Danio rerio: one gene and its partners. The protein of the gene in region 1 purifies or fractionates together with the protein of each later gene. This does not show direct contact. Links are inferred from orthologs where the notes say so. Each region holds a gene or a part of one and is shown on either strand. Other genes may lie near its edges.

Evidence for each region.
Region 2: the proteins of ftsj3 (region 1) and rrs1 purify together in Homo sapiens (affinity purification with mass spectrometry; 3 studies listed by BioGRID and IntAct, counting the BioPlex papers as one, with this or other methods). This does not show direct contact. The link is inferred for Danio rerio from reciprocal best matches to the Homo sapiens genes FTSJ3 and RRS1.
Region 3: the proteins of ftsj3 (region 1) and nop2 fractionate together in Homo sapiens (co-fractionation; 3 studies listed by BioGRID and IntAct, with this or other methods). This does not show direct contact. The link is inferred for Danio rerio from reciprocal best matches to the Homo sapiens genes FTSJ3 and NOP2.
Region 4: the proteins of ftsj3 (region 1) and nifk fractionate together in Homo sapiens (co-fractionation; 3 studies listed by BioGRID, with this or other methods). This does not show direct contact. The link is inferred for Danio rerio from reciprocal best matches to the Homo sapiens genes FTSJ3 and NIFK.

The regions. Positions count from the first base shown.
Region 1 is NC_133197.1:3,328,769-3,332,340, forward strand, and holds part of ftsj3 (pre-rRNA 2'-O-ribose RNA methyltransferase FTSJ3), read left to right. Parts: intron 1-3,136; coding exon 3,137-3,239; intron 3,240-3,320; coding exon 3,321-3,504; intron 3,505-3,572.
Region 2 is NC_133199.1:27,758,289-27,761,378, reverse strand, and holds rrs1 (ribosome biogenesis regulatory protein homolog), read left to right. Parts: upstream 1-1,214; 5' UTR 1,215-1,223; coding exon 1,224-2,264; 3' UTR 2,265-2,542; downstream 2,543-3,090. UniProt on the Homo sapiens protein: Involved in ribosomal large subunit assembly. May regulate the localization of the 5S RNP/5S ribonucleoprotein particle to the nucleolus.
Region 3 is NC_133191.1:17,311,403-17,314,404, forward strand, and holds the end of nop2 (28S rRNA (cytosine(4447)-C(5))-methyltransferase), read right to left. Parts: intron 2,851-3,002; coding exon 2,753-2,850; intron 2,628-2,752; coding exon 2,491-2,627; intron 2,414-2,490; coding exon 1,983-2,413; 3' UTR 561-1,982; downstream 1-560. UniProt on the Homo sapiens protein: S-adenosyl-L-methionine-dependent methyltransferase that specifically methylates the C(5) position of cytosine 4447 in 28S rRNA. Required for efficient rRNA processing and 60S ribosomal subunit biogenesis.
Region 4 is NC_133184.1:39,870,145-39,874,226, reverse strand, and holds the start of nifk (MKI67 FHA domain-interacting nucleolar phosphoprotein), read right to left. Parts: upstream 2,873-4,082; 5' UTR 2,766-2,872; coding exon 2,652-2,765; intron 2,400-2,651; coding exon 2,271-2,399; intron 1,012-2,270; exon of another isoform or gene 885-1,011; intron 805-884; coding exon 696-804; intron 603-695; coding exon 391-602; intron 310-390; coding exon 250-309; intron 195-249; exon of another isoform or gene 68-194; intron 1-67.

The DNA of each region.
Region 1 (3,572 bases):
CAGGGAGATAATGTCATTGAGATATCCGAGAAAGCCAGACAAAAACGGACTGCACTATGCTTTATAGGGGTATATTCACCACATAATAGGCAACCGGTTAGAGAATAATTCAATCAAAATTGAAGCTAGCTTAGCCTAGCTGCCTCATGTTCCAACCATTCAACAGCTTAGCTCATGCTCCGCAGGAGAGGTGAAGCTTAAAAATAATCTAATAATAACTAATTAAACCTTGATTTCTCTGTATTTAGCCAAAAAGCCTGATAGATTAATTGTTGTGTAATGAAATATAGCGTTACTGACGAGGAAACGCGCATGGACAGTGCTTTTACATAGTTCATTCACAGAAAGAGCAGCCAGAAAGGGGAAACTGATGGATTTGTGCCGAATATTAGCATCATTGACCCATAAAAATCTACAGTAGGATAAATGACTGAAAAACAGGCTGCGGGTGATGTATATTGATCGCAGGTGCTCAGTTTGTGATCATATCTGGCTTTTGTTCTGTTGATTTGAAGCTTGAAATAGATGGAAATATGAAGTTCAGTAAAGTTAGCAACAGATTCGTATTTTCTGGATCAATAACTCATGTCATCTTGACCTATTCACTATTAATATGACGAAGTTACTAATGTTATGGCGAAGGCTTAAACGGAGCATTACTCACAATATCGAGCGGGGGGAAAAAAAAAGGAATAAGACAGCTGGGGAACATGACCTCTTAGGGTGAGAGGTGTGTGAGTTATTGCTGTCAGTCTATCACTGAATGTGCGAGGAATATCAAAAACAAAACCAATTTAGCTCTGCTCCTTTAGCGCCCTTTACACGGCTTGATCCACGCTGGCATTTCTCCTCTTGGGTTTTCGGTTTTGAAAAGGGAAAAAATCCCACCATCCCGTCCAAACTTTAAGGAGACCGGGTATCAGATTTGCACAATCCTTATGCACTCGCTCGAAAGCTTGACAGAGCCCCAGCGCGTAGCTACAGTTGCTAAGCCACGATTGGTGGGTGGCGGTTTTTGGGTGTGGCTTAGCTTAGGGTCAATTGGCCCTATTTGAAATTCAATAACAAAAATATCAGTATTCACACTGGTGTATAAGGGGAAAAATATTATAGGCTATTACAATTTACTACTTGTATGTTATTTGTTATGCTCTATTAAATAGTGTGAGGATTGCTGTAAGGCGAATCAGTGAGTCTTTTTTTTGTGGAGAACGGATTACAAATGTTTTTGGTCAGCTAGGGCTGTGGTCCTCAACCTGTTTATCACCGCAGAGCGGTCAACGCTTGACAATTTTACCGTAGGTTGCTAGGCGACCATTACCCGTTTTCTCAGAGGATGATAAGCTGAAAAAACGTTGCTGTCGCTCTGATACAAGTTTTATTTCTGGAGAAAAGTAGAAAGCACTGTAGTGTTGGTGTGTTCTGTGTTTGTCTGGGAAAATGTGATTATTCCGAAATGTGAATATTCCATACAAGTTGAAGCTAATCAATCAATTCTTGTTACGTGACTCGCGGTGCGCTCACGGCCCGGGGTTCATTGGTGCGGAGTGTCACACCGCTTGTGCGCACCTCCATTGGAAACAACAAACTTGTGCAGACTCTAGAACAGGTGTGGGCAAACTTGATCCTGGAGGGCCGGTGTCCTGCATAGTTTAGCTCCAACCCTATTCAAACAAACCTCCATATAGAGTTCAAGTGATCTTGAAGACATTGATTAGTTTGTTCAGGTGTGTTTGAATAGTGTTGGAACAAAACTCTGGAGGGACACCGGCCCTCGAGGATCAAGTTTGCCCATCCCTGCCCTAGAAATACGCGATATGTGAATGGCCCCTAAAAGGCCGCTGTCATTTGTGATCTCCATCAGTTGATCTTCTTGCACAACCATGCTGGATTCACTTGATTTGTTGACAAATGGGTTGCGAATTTATTCCTTGGCAGTTCCTTCACTTGGCTTTTTCCCCTTGGCAAATAAACTTTCCAAAGACGTCTGTTTCTTACTCATTTTGCTGCTTTTGGGTTAAATTTGGGTGCTGAAGTTTCCGAGACGTAAGCCAGAGAATACAGTAATTTTTTTTAAAATAAAGGCTTTTCAAATAAAAGATCGTTCAGACTCGGATAATAAATTAAACAAAAATAATTCATAATTTTTTGTGCGACTCTGTACCAATTAATCCAACGACCAGTGGTTGAGGACTACTGAGCTTGGTGATAAAATGAACTAAGGCAACATGATCATTCTTCGAATTGTCCACTGCCAAGAAATTTTTTAAATATGACGCGACCCCCCCCCAAAGCTCGCTGAGGCCCCCTTGTGGGCCGGGACCACCCTGTTGGGAACCGCTGCTCTAAAGCATGAAACTGGTGGAAATGCGTCAAAATAAAGACTTAAATATAATAGCGACAGGCTAACGAAATTTATGCTACAACAGTAATGCATTACCAAAAATATAATGACTGTTCTGTTCAAATATTCAACATGAACTGTACACGGCCTTTAGCAGTGGCAGAATACTTAGGAATTAAGCCTGGTTTATACTTCTGCTTTAAGTGTCCGGCGTAACCCACGGCGCATGCAACGCGCGTAGCTGTGCATTTATACTTCTGCGCGCTGTCTCTGTTGGTCTGCATTAACACTTCCGAAGCGCTAGCTGGCAGTGATGTGTAAATGTTCCTCTGTGTCGAGTTTCTTCGCTGCTGTTTTGTTTTCCTGAACACTTCCTGAATGTACAAGTGGCTCAAACTCGCTCATTCTGAGGCAGGAACCGGCGGACGTGCAGCAACTTTAACTATGAGGTAAACACAAAACTTTCCATCCGGAGCTCCAACACGGGACTCCACACTTGTAAACAATCGCTCCATCAGGCTTGCGGCATTCGTGCGGCTCTCGGTCCCGCCCAGACTCGTCAGCGCTACCAAGCCGACCAATCGCAGCGCTTGCGCTACACGTCATTGCAATGTGTAGTTACATTCTTTGAGAGGTGCACGTCAGCGACGGCCACGGCGTAGGACTATGCGTCAACGCAGTAGCATACGCATGCGTTTGACGCAGAAGTATAAATCAGCCTTAAGAAAATTAGCATGCTCTCTTAGCATTTGATCTGAACGCTGCACTATTGTGTTGTTTTTCTATCCTCAGATAAGCGCGCTCGTGTTCTGGATGCTGAAGGTTTGGCTCTCGGTGCTCAGATCGCCACGTCCAAAAAAAGAGAGCGAGACCTGATTGACGGCTCCTTCCACAGGTCAGATGGGCCTGTTAGCATGTTAGCCGCCAGCTAATGCTGGTGAGCTTCAGAGAAATAACGTTTATGTTTCTACTGTAGGTTTGCCAACTCTGAGGACATGACCGAGGTTCCGGCCTGGTTTGTGGACGATGAGAAGAAGCACCGAAAACGGCCGGTTCCTGTGACCAAAGACATGGTGGAGGAATACAAGCAGAAGTGGAAAGAAATCAACGCTCGGCCAATCAGACGCGTGGCGGAGGCTAAAGCCCGCAAGAAGAGACGGGTCAGAAAATACACAAAAATACACTACATATACAGCACACTCTAAAAATACATTGTTATGCGTGTATT
Region 2 (3,090 bases), on another chromosome or scaffold:
CCCGGGGAAACTCGAGCAGCGGATATGACGTTCTCACCAGCCGACCAATCTGAACAAGTTGATTCGAACTGTTGTAGACAGACTTTATTCAGTGTATTTTTTAGCACATTCATTTTTTTATATCGGAGACTTGAGTTTTTTGTTATTTTACAATTAAAGATCATTTTGTTTGCGTAACTGAACAGTAATGCAAATACTACTACTACTACTACTACTACTACTACTACTACTACTACTAATAATAATAATAATAATAATAATAATTATAATAATAATAATAATAACAAGTTTGTTTTTGTTTGCATACTGTATGCAGAGGCAATTTCCAGATTTTTTCTGTTAGAATTTTCAAGAATAACATTGGCATCAGTTCAGAAATCATATTATCAGTTCAGTATCACTTGTTCAGTAATAATATAATCCAAACAGATCCAAAAAATCAGTTTTAAAATCATACCAAAAACACAATTTAAGTATTATTAAGGATAATTAATTATTTTTAGATATTTGTAGTGGTCGATGATAAAACAAATACAACCGTGCGTGTGTATAACTGCAACAAAATAAATAAATCAATATTTCTACCACAACTATGGGTTTCACTTATAGGTTTTACTGGCATTTAGAAACCAATCATTTGTCCCAGGTTACACATCCACAGAACCGATATATATCTAAATAAATTTAATATTTTATCAAAACGAACCATTTGCTCCGTATGCTTAACCCACCGGTTCGGTTCGGCTATAAGATTCACGCATCCACAAACTGAATCACTGAGTCAGGTTCGTTTGAATCATGTCTTCGAGCACTTCAGGTAACTTCTGGCATGTGGCCACTTTATTGATTCTGATCACAAAAATGTCGACTCTGGTGGGACTCGAACCCACAACCTTTGAATGACCCCATTCAACAATCTAGAAGTCCAATGCGCTATCCATTGCGCCACAGAGCCGATGGGACGTCCTGTCGGTTTATCGCTACTCCTGCATTCGACCGAACAACTTTCGTCCGAAGTAAGTTAGTTAGTATCATAAACATATACACTTAGGATAAACGTTTTACTAGCTAAAACATGTTTAAAGATTGTTATATTTCTTTAACTCATTTGAAATGTTTATTTTATTTTTTAAGTTAGTTTTTAGTTCTTTTATTTTGAAATACCAGACTTCCGCTTTTAGCGGCACATGTGGGAACCCACGTTGTCTGTCAGTAGAACCAAAATGGCTTCGTGCAGTATTGAAGACGTGCTCGCTAAAGCTGAAAGAGACGAGGCTGAGAAGCTCAAAAGTATTACGGTGCTCAAAGAGTTGGATCTTGAATTCGACCCGGGACTTTTGCTGGCGTTTGACAAGAACCGACTTGACACACGGGACTTTAAAGGCAACAAACGGGAGGACTGTCTTCGCTCTTTAGCGCGAGACAACACACAACTTCTCATCAACGAGATATGGAAACTACCCACAGAGAGAGTCGACGAAGTGATCGTCGCCAAGCTGCCAGAACCGACCACTAAACTACCCAGAGAAAAACCAGCACCGAAACCTAAGCCTCCTACTAAATGGGAACAGTTTGCCAAGCTGAAAGGCATTCAGAAGAAAAAGAAGACCAACTTGGTCTGGGATGAAGTTCACAAGGAGTGGAAGAGGAGATGGGGGTATAAACGTGCCAAAGATGACACCAAAGAGTGGTTGATTGAGGTCCCGGCGACTGCAGATCCAAACGAAGACCAGTTCGCCAAAAGGAATAAAGCCAAAAAGGAAAGAGTGGCCAGAAACGAGTACAACAGACTCAAAAACATCGCCAGAGCTCAGAAGGTCAAGGTTCCTGGAACAGGACTCCTGCCTACATCCCAGCAGACCAAAGCGGAGCTGGCACAAGCGGTCAGTCTGGCCAAAATATCCACCGCATCGGTTGGCAAATTCCAGGAGAAGCTGCCCAAGGAAAAACCAGCCAGAAACACTGGGAAGAAGAGGAAATTCCAGCCTCTTATTGGGGACTTCAGTAGCGAGAAGCAAAAACAGCTGGATTTATTGAAGGTGATGGACAGTAAGAAGCCCCGTCTCGATATCACTAAAGCTGTGAATAAGCAGATGAGGGAAGAGGACTCGGAGTCTGCTCGGAATAATAAGAAAGGGTTTGGAAAGAAGGGACGCAAGGGAGGCATGCCTGGTAAAGGAAAAGGCAAAGGAAAACCTGGAGGAAAGGGAAAAGCTCCTAAAGGCAAAGGGCGCAAACCTCAGATGAAGCAAGGAAAGCGCTAACATTTAAAGCAGTGTGGTGGACTTATGATGTTTATTGTAGAATATAATAAATATTGCACACGACTCAACTTCTCTTAAGTCATGACTTTGAGTGCCTTGCGGCTGGAGTTTGATTCAGTACAGGAATCGGGTTTGTTTATGTGTTTAGGCTTTATCTACATATGTCATGGATTAAGATCATTGAACCGTTTTCATAAATGTCATCTAATATTGACTCCTGTTATTCATTCGTAATTGTGTTTTCACATTAAATTAAAATTCTTTCTGATTTGCCATCAGTTCCTGGTTGGATATTGTGAATAATGAGGTTATATTTCATCCCCAAAGTTATTTAAAAATGAGTATAAATGTGTCAAAGCCTGCTGTTAATGGGTAACATTTGTACTTAAATAGTATGTTCTTATAATGTAATATAAAATATCATCAAATGTGTATTTTAGAATTATAAAGCTAAAATATCACCTTAAAAAATTGAAGCTAAGATTCAATTAATAAAGTATTTGAGCAATTTTAATGAAAAGAATATGATTAGATTTATCTTATACCATCAAATAGAGGAGACATCCCATTTCAGTGTCTACCTAAGTTCACAAATGTGATTTTTAATTACAGCAATCAAATTAAATCTAATTAAATTGTTTAGTGATTTAAATAACTTTTGTGAAATTAAAAATATGAGTTAAAAACGCTGTATTGTCATTTAGTGTTATGTGAAAATGAAACCTACTGTTATTCTGATCTGTGATGTGACAAATATGTATAAAATAATAACTTAAAGCTTTCCCAGAGATGGGTTGCAGCTGGAAGGGCATCCACTGCATAAAAC
Region 3 (3,002 bases), on another chromosome or scaffold:
GATTTGCACGAAAGGTGTGCCACTACACTAATTATCTTGTTTAATCCTGCCCTTTTTCACAGCACCATACTACAGAATTTCGCAAGCTCAAACTCCAGTATGACAGCAGCATTACTTTACTGCCATTCAAATGGCCCAATAGGCTTATGACATAGTATTGTTCATTGCAGGAGTAATTAAAAATCTATGTGGAAGTAATACCTTATCCAATAAAACTTGTCGCAAACTCCACTTCTGGAGGGCTGCAGCTCTGCAGTTTTGGTCCAACCCTAATCAAACACAGCTGATCCAACTAATCTAGAGACTTTTAAGCAGGTGTGAGTTGGAGGTGGCTAAAGCTAAACCGCGCAGAGCTATGGTCCTCCAGGAATTGAGTTTGAGACAATCAAGTGATGATCTATTTTTGTAAAACTATCTTAACTAGCATCCATGGTGAATACCCAGCAAGACATCCATTGACAGACAAACAGCTCTGCTTGTTAATCGTAATAATCTAAACTTATTTTAAAGCCTCAACAACTACAGGTAGATTTAAATCACTTCACAAACTTTCTGATAAATTTTTTAGTCTTAAAATTTTTTTTAATTGAACTTAAACCCATGCAGAGATTTGAAACAGGAGATGCTAAATTTCTAAATGGTTTCTGCGTTTTGCTTTACATAAGAACACACCTTTCCTTAATTAGCTTTAATTTCTAACAAATTTTTAGCCCAGTTTAAACTAGACACTCTTGAGTTCCACTGATTATGGCTTTGTTCAAATAACTAGTACAAAATGCGTTACTTGGCAAGCACCATTAAATAAATTAAATAACTTTAGCATAGATTAGTTAAATGCTAGAAACAAAAACTAATCAGTACAGTACAAAACAGAAGAGGTAGTTCTTGTTAAACACAGACTGGACACTCCATCCCTGCAATCATATGTGCAGGTGAATGATAATTACCCTTCTACAATACCACTTAATCAACTGGGTGCCAAACTACTCTGATCTAATGCGTTTTACCCACAGGCCTGCTCAATGGCTTCATTTACCCTTCAGGCACAACCTTAAATTATCTCCTTGCATGTAATCACTGCAGTGTGATTAAAATAAACGCTTTGCCTACACATGCACTACATTTCAACAGATTTAACAGCTTTGGGAGGAACAAGCAGCGATAATTATGGCGTTTTGGGCCATCTTTTGTGGAGACAGAAGGATTCCATACAAAGCACAGAGAAAGTATCACAGTTCAGAGGGTATGAGCTCAGGGCTTCGCCGCACACAATACGATATGCGGGTTACTATGGTTACGTGGGCATCTGGCCAAAAGGGTAGGAAGAAAGATAGCATATAGCTGAAGTTCATCCACAGAGCGTTTTAGCCATTTGAACCTGAAGAAAACTTTTTGCACACTGACAAATGTTCTGCAGCAGGAGCCAAATGATGTGAAAAGAGAAGTCAAAAGGTTTTGCTGAACAGCACTCATGATGCACTCGGTCTGAAAGAAAAATTTCACTTCTACCTCAATAGTTTGTGATCCGACTTCTGAGGTGATGTCCTCAAAGGCAGAAAATAAGAGTCAGATTAAAAAGGCAGAAAACTATTTCAGTCTCTCAGAGGAAGCCAATAAACTATATATTTTTTACTTTTTTTTTTTTAATAAGTGTGATGAAAAAAACTGGCATATCACATTCTTTGCAGCATTTCTGTTAAATGTTTCTTTGTTTACGAAATAAAAGCAGACAATGACATTTACATTTATGACATTTATATCACAAGAAGGTTGAAGTAACCTTCTTGGTGAATCAGTAAGGTTGACAGTCTTGAAAAGCAGTATAAATACACAAATTCACTGTGTAAGTTACTAAAGAATGATCTTTGAGTCCCCAACAGCAAGCTGGGACTGGTTTAACTTACTGTCTTGGGTCAAACCACTGACAGATCCCAGTCCTGAGCATATAGGTCCATGTCAATTTACTGTCAGATGACTAAAGTTCACTGGCCACTTTCTTGCTGTCCAAGCATACTTTTTAACTTCTTAAATTTGTTTTTCCCGATTCTGTTCTTCTTTTTCTTCAGCAGGTTCTTCTTTTTGGTTTTGTTTTCTTTCTTCTTGAATGGACTGCCCTCTTTCTTCTCCTTTATCCCCTCTGTTGTTGGATTGCCATTCATTTGCTTTCCCTTCTGTTTTTTGCTAGGTTTCTCAAACTTTTTTGCAGCTTCACTATCCAGCTTGGCAATTTTGGCTTTTTTGGGGCCAGTTTTTTTATTCTCAGCTTTCTTTTTAACGATGAGTGGCTTGGATGTTTGAGGATTCAATTTCTGTTTCTTTTCAAAGCTGCTTTTTTCTGGAGTTGAAGCAGGCTTCTGTTCTTTCATCTCTGATAAAGCTGCAGTCTCCATTACAAGTGATTCTTCTTGATTTTCTAAGGAATATGTTTGAAAAATTGAAGTAAAATACAATACAAATTTGTGGATAAAATCTTTTGAAATAAGCACACACCTGTTTCTTTTGGAGCAGTAGGGATGGTGTTAGACAGCTTCTTTAGCTTGGCCACAAAAAACCCATCCATGTTGTGAGAGTGGGGGTAGAATCGTCGAGACAGTTTAAGAGAAGGATGGAAACGTTTCTCTTTGAATCTACAGAGAAGAGATCAAGATTTTCAAAATGCACTTTATAATTTCTCTGGCAAACACACTTGAACTTAATTTCTAGGACTATAACCTTTATTACTGTTGATGAATTTCAAATAAGATCTCATTACCTGGTAAATCCCTCTTTGCCAAAGTCCAATCCAGTGGGGACAAGCTTAACATTTCTCTTCTTCAGAGCATAATCTACCACCCACTCATTCTCTTCCACCTATAGAGACAAATCAAATCTCATACCAAATGGACAGAAAATTGGCATATTTCAGCAGACATACTTTAGCTTTTAAAATATAGATTAATACATTTTACATCTACCTGTTTCACTTTTCCTCTAAAATGTTGCAATATCTGCTTTAGTCCACA
Region 4 (4,082 bases), on another chromosome or scaffold:
ATCAGATCCACTAAAAATGCATCTTAACAACATGTGCAAAATAAAAAAAAATAGAGTACACTACAGTAACTGTTGGCACATGGGTTTCATTGCGTGTCAAAGTGACAGACAATAAGCTTAAAATGTACCATTTTCTGTCGGCACAGTTATCTTACTCCAGTTGATGGTTACAACTGAAATAATTTTCAGTATATGCCAAGATACAGAAGTGGTAAAAAAATTAAGCTGAATTAAAATGATTAGACTAACCTCACTGCACACTGAAACATTTGCTTCTGATGGAGCCTTTTTAGCTGGAATCTGTGCTGCCTGCAAACAAAAAAACATGATCAAATTAATGATAACATCTTAAAAGTCCCAACTAAAACATACTCTGACTGTAGTACTTACAAATCCTGGGAAATCATAGTCAATGCCTTTTGCTGCCAGTCTCTTGCGCAGCTTAGACTCTTTGCTTAAAAGCTTTGTGCCAACTTTCTTCACATCATCTTCTGTGTGTGTTTTGTTATACCGAGTCACTGCAGGATACTTTGGCTTCTTGAAGCCAGCAATAGAGCCGACAAAGAGCTTTTCATGAACCTTCTCAGGTGGAATAACGTGACCTGAAAAGTACAATACACAGCATTACTCATAAAAAAACATCACACACAGACAAAAAAAATAATGATTAATAATCTTGTATGCTCTCATCTCACATTTTATAATGCGTTCTCCCATAAGGTAGTTGTTCATGGTTTCAGCCACAATCTTAGCCACTTCATCACACTCAAACTCCACAAATCCATAGCCTTTGCTCCCACCAGTCTGTGAAAGATGACAGTTCAATCATTTATGAGGTAAAACCTCCAGCAAAGCATTATCACCCAATATGACTATTGTGATATTAATGTAGGCACATGGGTTTCATTGCACAACTACATGAAGTTGGCAATAAGCTAAATGTACCGAATTAATGTTGGCACAATAATCTTACCCATCGCAACAAAATGCCAAAGGTAATTTTCAGATTGTGCCTTTTAAACATGTTGTTATATAGAGAAATTAAAAACGAGAAAAAAAAGAAAGAAAAAAAAAACACAAGATCCTGATAGAATGTTTACAGCTACATAAAGAAAAAAGCACACTTCTCTACTATAAAGTTAATGAGAAATGGTTAGAGTATACAATTCAGATGCAGCCGATGATTATCTGAAAGCAACCCGCTGGGAATCAAATAAGATTTCTCTAAAAATCCTCTTAGAATCAAATTGGGCCTCATTGGATTAAACGTATTTATCCAAGAGGATCTTATGCGTTTCTTTATAGGATTCCTTGTAGAATTCTTATTGGTTTGTTTGGAAATTACAGGGCTTTTGCTGATTTTATTTGTAAAACAAAAGTAAAGAAAGCTTAATTCCCTGTGAAATTGGCCAAATGTTATTTAATTTATTATTAAACGAAATATCTGCCAATAAACCCTACGTAAATGAAAAGTTTAATCTAAATTCTGTCATTTACCTCACACTTCTTCCACCTTTCTTCATATTTAACATCAGGTCATTGCAAACCAATGTAACAAAATGCTTAAAACCTTACTCCTGCAAACTCAATCATAAGACTTTATCAAAAGACATTTTACAGATTGTTGAAAACCCAGCCACCACTGGCATCTATAGTAGATGGAGGAAAAGTTGGTTTTATATTTGCACATTTGTTCATTTAGCAGTCTCTATATTGTTTACCACGCTATGTTGAATATCGAGTCTGAACTAGCATGTTTGATTTCAAAACAACATCAACACTATCTAATTCGCTGTGAACAATGCTGTACTTTGTTAGTCATTTGCTGCTAATATGATTTTCCTATTTAAAATTTGCAAAGAATACTTTTCTAAAATTATATTAAGGAGAATGTCTGAATATTCTAATACAAAACCAACTTTACCTCCATCTATAGCAGGAACAACATACTATGGGATTCCATGCTAAGTTCCCAACATTCTTCAAATTGTTTCCTTTTGTGTTCAACAGAGGAGAAAGTAGTGAAAGAGTAATTGATGCAGAATTTTTTGGTGAACTATCCCTTTAAAAAATGTTTAGATATACTAGTACTGGCAAACACAAAATAAAACAATTTATCTAATAAATAAAGCAAGATTTTAACATTTTAACATGTATTAGATTCAGAAAGTCCGCGTTAGAACGTCTTGACCATTTGTATTGAGCAATTTACTTTATATTTAACGTCATGTCATTATAAACTAAGGTAATAAATCAAATGCACGTCATACCTTTTTACTCCTGGAAACTCTCAATCGTAAGACTTTGCCAAACTGCTCAAAGTAAGATTTCAACTGAGGCTCAAACAGTCCTCGAGGAAGATGACCAACATACAGCACTCCTGGACTAAGTGTTTGACCCTGAAAGAGGACCAAAACAAATTATGAAGCGCATTCAATGCAAAACAAAATATTGAATGTAACATGTGCACCGTAAACCAAATAGTAACATTACATTAGCACCGTCAAGTGTAAACAAGACTCATCTTACCGAACTTAACTCTAGCTACAGCATATTAGTGATTAAAAGAAACATTTTGTTCCAACCACGTTTTAAATGTGAATCTGAAGCACTGTCAGGCTAAACTAAGGCCACATGGCCACGCATCATACCGTTTGAGGACGCTTCTTCACTTGCTGCACTTTCTTCTGAAATTCTGCGTCCTCTTTCGGATTCAGAGCCAGCAGTCTTTTCGCCGGCTTGTCTGATGATTTGCCTTCTGTCATATTGAAATCTAACAGTGGTCAAATAAATAAAGCTAAACGTTTTGAACCTACTGTCGTATGGCTTCTCCTAAAACCACGTTGTGCCTCGTTCAGGAAACTGCTAATGCAAGCGACAATTCAAAATAAAAGCCTGCAAAAGCTACAAAATAAAAGTCAACTAAACTCACGGCGTTGACAGTTGTGCTATGTTATGTAATATGTTTTAATAAACGTCTGAGTTTCCTTAAGTTTCTTTAATACTTAATAAATACTGAGTGTGCGTCGTTTGTTTATTATTTTTCTTAATATTTTACTTGTTATAAATTACCTATCTACCCAACGGAGTTGACTAAGGTTGTGCTGTACTATTTATTGTGTTTTAATAAATATTTACATGCTTTTAAATTTCTTTAATACTAGATAAGCAAACAAACAAATCAATAGTGGGTTTGCGTTGTTTGCTTATTAATTATCAAAATATTTTACGTGTTATAAATTACTTATCAACAGCGTTGACTAAGGTTGTGCTTTGCTATTTTTATGTTTTATTAAATATTTACACTGTATAACTTTCTTAAATACTAAAGAAATAAATAAACAAACAAACAAATAAATAGTGAATTTACGTAGTTTGCTTATTGACTAAGGTTTTGCTATGCTATTTATTATGTTTTAATAAATATTTACACTGGATTAAATTTGTTAAATACTAAATAAACAAATAAATAAGGCGGTTAATTCTGTTGTGGCGATCCCAGATTAATAAAGGGACTAAGCCAAAAATTAATGAATGAATAAACAAACAAACAAACAACAAATAAATAGTGGGGTTACGTTGTTTGCTTATTAATTATCTTAATATTTTACTTGTTATAATTTATCTACTCAACGGCATTGACTAAGGTTGTGCTATGCTATTTATTATGTTTTATTAAATATTTACACTGTATTACATTTATTAAATACTAAACAAACAAACAAACAAACAAACAAATAAATAGTGGGTTTACAGTTAGCTTATTAATTATCTTAATATTTTACTTGTTATAAATTACTTATCTACCCAACAGAGTTGACTAAGGCTGTGCTGTACTATTTATTATGTTTTAATAAATATTTACATGCTCTTAAATTTCTTAAATTCTAGATAAACACACAAACAAACAAACAAACAAACAAATCAATAGTGGGTTTGCGTTGTTTGCTTATTAATTATCTTAACATTTTACTTGTAATAAATAACTTATCTACCCAACGGCATTGACCAAGGTTGTGCTGTGCCATTTTATTATGTTTTAATAAATATTTACATCTTCTTAAATGTCCTAAATACTAAAT